2 linked regions of the Oryctolagus cuniculus genome follow. The protein of the gene in region 1 interacts with the protein of each later gene in a biochemical or structural test. Links are inferred from orthologs where the notes say so. Each region holds a gene or a part of one and is shown on either strand. Other genes may lie near its edges. The genes, in order: CACNA1A and CACNB4.

Region 1 (3,807 bases):
CCCGGTTGCCCCTCTTCCAGGCCAGCTCTCTGCTGTGGCCAGGGAGTGCAGTGGAGGATGGCCCAGGTGCTTGGGCCCTGCACCCCATGGGAGACCAGGAAAAGCACCTGGCTCCTGGCTCCTGCCATCGGATCAGCGCGGTGCGCCGGCTGCAGCGGCGGCCATTGGAGGGTGAACCAACGGCAAAGGAAGACCTTTCTCTCTGTCTCTCTCTCTCACTGTCCACTCTGCCTGTCAAAAAAAAAAAAAGATTCATTTTCAATTATCTTTATATACAGAAGATCGATTTAGTATATATTAAGTAAAGATTTCATCAGTTTGCACCCACACAGAAACACAAAGTGTAAAATACTGTTTCAGTACTAGTTACAGCATTACTTCACATTGGACAACACATTAAGGACAGATCCCACATGAGAAGTAAGTACACAGTGACTCCTGTTGTTGACTTAACAATTTGACACTCTTGTTTATGGGATCAGTAATCTCCCTAGGCTCTAGTCATGAGTTGCCAAGCCTATGGAAGCCTTTTGAGTTCGCCAACTTCGATCTTATTCCGACAGGGTCATAGTCAAAGTGGAAGTTCTCTCCTCCCTTCAGAGAAAGGTACCTCTTTCTTTGATGGCCCCGTTCTTTCCACTGGGATCTCACTCGCAGAGATCATTCATTTAGGTCTTCTTCTTCTTCTTTTTTTTTTTTTTTTTTTTTCAGAGTGTCTTGGCTTTCCATGCCTAAAATACTCTCATGGGCTCTTCAGCCATATCCGAATGCCTTAAGGTCTGATTCTGAGGCCAGAGTGCTACTTAGGACATATGCCATTCTATGAGTCTGCTGTGTATCCCACTTCCCATGTTGGGTCACTCTCTCCCTTTTTTGTTCTATCAGTTAGTATTAGCAGACACTAGTCTTGTTTGTGTGATCCCTTTGACTCTTAGACCTATCAGTGTGATCAATTGTGAACTGAAATTGATCACTTGGACTAGTGAGATGGCATTGGTACATGCCACCTTGATGGGATTGTATTGGAATCCCCTGGCATGTTTCTAACTCCACCATTTGGGGCAAGTCAGCTTGAGCATGTCCCGAATTGCACATCTCTTCCCTCTCTTATTCCCACTCTTATATTTAACAGAGATCACTTTTCAGTTAAATTTGAACACCTAAGAATAATTGTGTGTTCATTACAGAATTCAACCAAAAAAAAAAAGTGGGAGGCAGGGGACTGATGGGAAGGAGAGACGCAGAGGGACATTGGGGGCACCCATGGTGGGAGGGGGCGGCTGTTTAGCCAATTGTGGAAACAGTGAAATACTCCTCTACTCCTCTGGCCCCTGTCCTGCCTGGCTGTGTCCAGCACCTCTGGGATCCACATCTGGCTCAGCGCAGGGTCTGTGCACCTGCTGGTCAGTGTCTGTGATGGAACCCAGGGTTGGAGTCGCTGGCAGCCCCCAAGGGCCTCCGAGGCACGAACCCTAACAGGTGCATTTCCCACTCCTGCTGTGCTACCCCTGGGCTGTCCCACAATGAGCAGATGCTGCCCCTTGTGTCACCAGCCACATGGTGGGGGGAGGCCCCGATGGAGTTCTGGGGCAGCCCTGGCTGCTGTGGGCATTTGAGAGAGTTGAACCAGAAAATGGCAGATCTCTCTTGGTTGTTCTGCCTTTCAAATAAAATGAAAAAAAAAAAAAAAAAAAACAACTCATTACTTGTCCCCTCCCCTAGCAAACACAGGCAGGGCAGGAAGGACCAGACCCTTCCCTCTCTGCCTCCCTCCCAGCCCCCACGGCCAAGGAATCAGCTTCAGACCAAGGCCAAGTTCACGGCTGGAGACACCTGGGAGAGGGAGGAAGAAACCTTGGTCAGGGAGGCCTCACTCTGTGCTCACTGGGGATGACTTCATCTAGTCCTAGCCACGCCCCCAGAGGCCCCGCCCCCAAACACCAGCATCCCACGGAGTTTGCACACACACCCCCTAATGCCTCCCAGCAGGGACAAAACCTGCAAGTGCGGGTGGACCTCATTCAAGGTGTGCACACCTTCTGTTGGCAAACCAACAGGTGAGGCCAGTCCCAGAGCACCGTCATTCCCCCGAGGCAGGTGGGGAAACTGAGGCGCGGAGAGTGAACTGGAGACCCTCGGTTTCAAAGCGCAGGAGGCAGGATGGGTCTGACTCACCGTCTTTAACTGCTCATCTGTTTGAAAAGCAGAGAGAGACAGAGAGAGAGAGAATCTTCCATCTGCTGGTTCAAGTCTCCAAATGGCCTACAACTTGCCAGGGCTGGGCCAAGCCAGAAGCCAAGAGTTCAGAACTCCATCTGGGTCTCCCACGGGGGTGGCAGGGACCCAAGCACTTAGGCCGTCTCCCCTGCCGCCTCCCCAGGGGGCCTCGATCAGAAGCAGGGTTTGCCAGGACCTTGCTCTGCTACGGGCTGCAGGAATCCCAAAAGCAGTGGATTCACCTGCCTGCCCCGGCCAGGGACCAGAGCCCGGGCAGCTGTGCCCAGAGCTGCCTCTGGACCAGGCTCTAGGGAGCCCTGGAGAGAGCTCCGGCTAAGGGTCTGTGTGTGCCACGCCCCCTACAGGCGGAGCAGATAAACAGCAGATGGACGCTGAGCTGCGCAAAGAGATGATGGCCATTTGGCCCAACCTGTCCCAGAAGACACTGGACCTGCTGGTCACACCCCACAAGTGTAAGGGCCTAGTCTGGGGCTCTCGCTCCTCCCCACCCCAGGAACTCCGATCCACCCACATGGGGAGGGCGCCGGGATGGGGAGAGGACGGGGTGGCACAAGTGAGCTTGCCCTGTGCCCCTCCCCAGCCACGGACCTGACAGTGGGCAAGATCTATGCCGCCATGATGATCATGGAGTACTACCGGCAGAGCAAAGCCAAAAAGCTGCAGGCCATGCGCGAGGAGCAGGTGCGTGCGGGTCTCCCTGGTAACGCCGGGGCTGCCTGCCTGTCCTCACCCACTCTGGGAACCAATCGGAGCAAGGGGTGGGGTTGGGGGTGTGGCCGAGCTCAGGAGCCGGTCCCTGTGCTGTAGGGCCAGGGAGCGAAAACCCAGGTCAGTTTGGTTGGCGTCACCGACACTTATGAAGCGCTTACTGTATGCCGGCTGCTGCTTTTTATTTCATTTTTATGTTTTGGCCTTGTTCAGCTGTGAACAAAACAGAGCAGAAGCAGGGGACAGCTGAGCAGAGGCTTGGAGGAAGAGTGGAGGGAGGGAGCCAAGGGGTTATCCAGGGAAAGGCGCCCCGGACCAGGGGCCAGCAGCCAGTGCAAAGGCCCTGGGGTTGGACTTTGCCTGGTGAGCTTGGGGGGCAGGAGAAGGAAGTGGCCAAGCACAGTGCACCAGAGATGAGGGCAGGGAGGTGGCGTGCCAGGTCCTCCAGGGCTTTGGTGGTGAGGGACGGGGGCCACCACAGAAGGCTCCAGTTTTTGCTCCGGGGTTAAGCCGCAGCCAAGGAGCTAGAGACTGACTCAGGTGCTCGCTGGCGCCCTCTAGTGGCTGTGCGTGGAGGTGCGGGCAGGACCCGGTAAGGCCGGGTGGGATGCCAAGGGGCTGCAGCCCGTAGGATTTCGCCCACCATGCCCCCTTGCCGGGGTGCGCTGAGGGTGCCGTCTGCAGCCTTCGGCCGTGTGACCTTGGCCACTGCTCCCATCTGTCCCCATGCCCCGTGCACCTGCTCCTTGTCTGCTCCCCAGAACCGGACACCGCTCATGTTCCAGCGCATGGAGCCCCCGCCGGATGAGGGGGGCGCCGGCCAGAACGCCCTGCCCTCCACGCAGCTGGACCCGGCAGGAG
Region 2 (3,907 bases), on another chromosome or scaffold:
TTTAGCATGTAATGATTTTTACATTTTTAAGCCAGCACACAGCAGCACATTTTACAAAAACATATTATCTGATTCACTTACTGGCATAAACTGAGGACAGAAGGAAAGATCAAAAGAATACTGTTTTGTTTGTGTTTGGAAGAGCAAAGTATAAGTGCAGAGATAGTGTGGGCTAACTCAAAAGTTCTGGTCAAACAGTTCATGGAATGCAGAGCCATATAATAGTATTTCCAAGAATTTACAATAATAAAGTGCTCCCCAAAATAGGCACCTACACCACAAGACCTCCAACAGTGTAATTCACAAATGTTTAAAATATGAACGTTGTCTTTGCCTTACCAAGTACACAAGCTAGCATTGCAAAGGGAATGGAACCCACTTTGAGAATGAATGCAGAATCCAAAGGTATTTCTCTTAACCATGCACATGCTCTGTGCTCACTGAATTAAATAGCAGTGACAATTCCTGATCCTGCAGCAGGTGAAATTCTGCATAATAAATACAATCCAAACCCGCTTGAAACAGACCCTTCAGGAGAGGTCTGCGCCCAGTTGTGGGTCTAAAGCCCATTCAGTGGCCATGATCTGTTTCAACTGATGATAACCATCACTTCACAAACACACCGCAGCGATCACAGGTTGAAACCATTACGCAAGGATCTGACTGACCTACAGGGGAAGGAAGTTCTCAAGGTCACCCCAGCAGACCAAGGCAGAACCTGAGAGGGAAGCTTCTTGGTGAGCTAACTACAGTCTTCCCAGGCCACCCCAAATGCCAACACCCCAGCGGTTTCCGTTCCAAAGAGAGATCAAGGTGACTCACTTTTGCATGATCTCCAGCACCCAGCGCTAGGGGTGGTTTCACGTACAGTAAGGAAATTCAGGACCGCTTTCCTGTGTCAAGGTGAAAGGCACATCAGCCTCAGCCTTCGTGGCCGTGCCGGCCACAAACAACACTGCTTGGAACCACGCCGAAAAAAAAATAAATAAAACGCCTAATACAAACCGCGCAGACCCCGGCTACTGAGTGCCGGCGTTGGCTTACTTGCATTTATTTAACCAGGTCCGACCGCTTTCCCCTAAATAAGCGAATCAAAGAAGAGGTCCCAAAGTGAGACCGAACTTTCTGCTCCAAGCGTTGTTCCTTTGACTAGAGCTCGAAGATCTCTCCCAATATCTAGACAGAGTGTTCAAAATAGTAAAGGCAGAAGAAACCCTTAACTCTCACTCCGGCGCAAGCCAGGTCCCCTGCACCCAGGGGGGTCCGGTGACTCCAAGCGAGTTTCTCCCAGTCCGGAAGGTGCAAGCAGCAACATTCCCAGCTCTCAAGTTCGGGGTGCCTGACCAACATCCCTGTCCCTGCCGACCCGAAGCCGTACAAACTTCCCGGGGTGGTGCAGAGACGCCTGGACCCAAAGACTGCGGGGATACCGGGCCTGGGAGAGAGAGACGCGGTCCGAGAAGGCGAGCGCGGGGACGAGGACGCCAGGATCCGGAGACTTAGGAGCCCGGGCTACTGGGAGACAGACGCAGCCCGAAGCGGCGCGCGCGATCAGGGACCGGACCTGCAGCTGCCGCCGCACGTGGGGGCCGTGCTGGGTGCCAGGACCCCCGGCGCCGCTCGCCCGCCCGCGCCCGCAGCCTACCTGTCTGAGAATGAAGCTGGTCGAAGTGGTGCTGCCATCGGATCTTTTCAACCTGCTCCTCCGGGTCGTGGTGCCTCGGGCCACCTGGACTCGATACACGGGGCCAGAGAGAAGCCGGTGAGCACCGCAGCGTGGAGCGGGGTGACCACCCTGGCCAGAGTCCGCCTTGGGACCAGCTCCCTGGGATCCCCCAGAGCCCGCACCCAAGTCCCCAAGTCTCCTCCGAGGCTCCCGAACACAGCCCCCACCCCCACCCACCCACTGCAAGCCTGGACGGCTGAAAAGATTCCCGAGGAGAGCAGCCCGCGAGCACCCACCACATCCATCAACAAAGACTCTCGGGGTGCGGGGTCCGAGTCCCCGGCATCCGCTGGGGGAGGCTATGGGCTCCGGAGCCGGAGCGCAAAGACCTGGACTACGATGAGGAGGAGGAGGAGGAGGAGGAGGAGAAGGAGGAGGAGGAGAGGGAGGAGGAGGAAAGGGAGGAGGAGCGGGAGGAGGAGGAGCGGGAGAGGAAAGGGACGCGGAGAACGGATGGGGAGCCGGGCAGCCGACTCCCGGGACTCGGGGGCCCAGCCAACCTGGCACAAAGGCGGGGCGCTCTTGGGCGGCGAGGAGGCGGAGGCGGAGGAGGGGGCGGTACCTGCGAGGTGGGGGAATGCGGCCCGTCCACGGTCCCGTTCTTGGCGTAGGAGGAGGAGGACATGGCTCAGAGCCGCCGCATGGCCAGCCCGTGCGCGGTGGGCGGAGGGCGCGCGGGCCCCGCAGGCTGGGCTGCGACCGGAGGGGGAGGGCGGCAGGACTTCCCCACCCGGCTCCCTGGCCCCGCGCCGGCTCCCGGGCTCCCCGCCCGCACTTCGGAGAGCGTGGCACCTTAAAGGGGCCGAGACGCTGCCCCCGCGCCGGCTTCGGGGTCCCGGGGAGGGGGCTTCTTGGGATCTCGCCTCCCCGAGCCGATCGGGAGCAGCTCTCTCCCACCTAGCGGGCGCTTTACATCAGAGCTTCCCAGAGGAGGCAGGGAGGGGAAAATCTGGGATGGGGGTGGGAAGATTAAAATAGTCTGCACAGTTTAAAATGAAACAAAGGTGGCACGGTTCATGAATCAGGACTTGGGGAGGGAGGCTGGTGCAGTGTGGCGGGGAGTGGGAAAGACCGAGTGGGGGTGTGTGTGTGTGCGCGCGCGCCGCCCTGGAATTTTAAAAGGGCAAAAGCCAGCCTTCCTTACTCGACTTCACTCAACCGCTCGCTGTGGTAAGACGTGGGATGAGGGGGCTGCTTCCTGTTCGTGTTTTTGTGTTGTTTGGGTAACTCCAGCCTCAGAGCCACGAGACACACGCGCGCGCCCGCACACTCACACACGCGTGCGCACACACACATTCAGCCTGGGCGAGAGACCCTGCTGGCCAGTCTTTGGCAAGATGCAGCCCCTCACAGGAGACCGGCAGGTCCTAAGGAGTTTTGAAGGTCAAGTTAGACCTGCTAAGGAGCAAGAGTTGGCCACGTGCCTCCCATTTCTCCGTGGCTGGCAGTTAGCAAGGGAGGGAGGTCATCCTGGCCACCATCCCCAACCTTTGCCTTGCTGCCGCGGCCTGCCTTCCGCAAACATATTCGGAGGTGAATCTGAAATCACACGAAAAGCCAAGGATTGTGGCGAAGAGGGATTTGAAGTCATAAGAAGAGTAAGGAAAAATATATGCAAATTCAAAAATAGTTACTGCACCGAATCCATCATTAAAATATACAAGGTCTCTCAAATCACTAGGTCAGCCATCCTGCCTTGTATTCTAATATTGTATTGATTAATTTATTTACAGAAATAAATGCCATGTTTAAGACTTACTTGGCCTTGAGGTCCTGGTTCTTTCTTACCATCCACCTGATACTTTCTTTCCACTCCTACCCCCCTTGATTTATGCCAAGGTTGTGTGTGTGTGTGTGTGTGCTTAACTAGTCTCTGCCTCTAGGCTCCCTACTACACACACACACACACACACACACTTCCAATTAGACACTATAGGAAAATGCATATTCCCAAAATCTGTTTTGCTCAAGTCACTTATCTAAAACATAGCCCCAAATCTGTGGTCCAACCACCAAGCGTCCCTGCATTTCTGATTATCACCACATTTCACCAACTTGATTGCTCCACACCTACCTTCCAGCAAGCAGGCAGTTTTGCTGATTACCACCCAGACCTACCAAATACAGTCCCATACAGCAACTCTGCCTTGGAATGCCTCCTTGGAACACACCCCCTCCCCA

The links.
Region 2: the proteins of CACNA1A (region 1) and CACNB4 form a complex in vitro, tested with the Homo sapiens proteins (2 studies listed by BioGRID). The link is inferred for Oryctolagus cuniculus from reciprocal best matches to the Homo sapiens genes CACNA1A and CACNB4.

What each region holds. Positions count from the first base shown.
Region 1 is NC_091447.1:62,578,691-62,582,497, reverse strand, and holds part of CACNA1A (voltage-dependent P/Q-type calcium channel subunit alpha-1A), read left to right. Parts: intron 1-2,582; coding exon 2,583-2,690; intron 2,691-2,818; coding exon 2,819-2,919; intron 2,920-3,707; coding exon 3,708-3,807.
Region 2 is NC_091434.1:89,783,008-89,786,914, reverse strand, and holds the start of CACNB4 (voltage-dependent L-type calcium channel subunit beta-4), read right to left. Parts: upstream 2,498-3,907; 5' UTR 2,352-2,497; coding exon 2,289-2,351; intron 2,106-2,288; exon of another isoform or gene 1,972-2,105; coding exon of another isoform or gene 1,963-1,971; intron 1,730-1,962; coding exon 1,646-1,729; intron 1-1,645. UniProt on the Homo sapiens protein: The beta subunit of voltage-dependent calcium channels contributes to the function of the calcium channel by increasing peak calcium current, shifting the voltage dependencies of activation and inactivation, modulating G protein inhibition and controlling the alpha-1 subunit membrane targeting.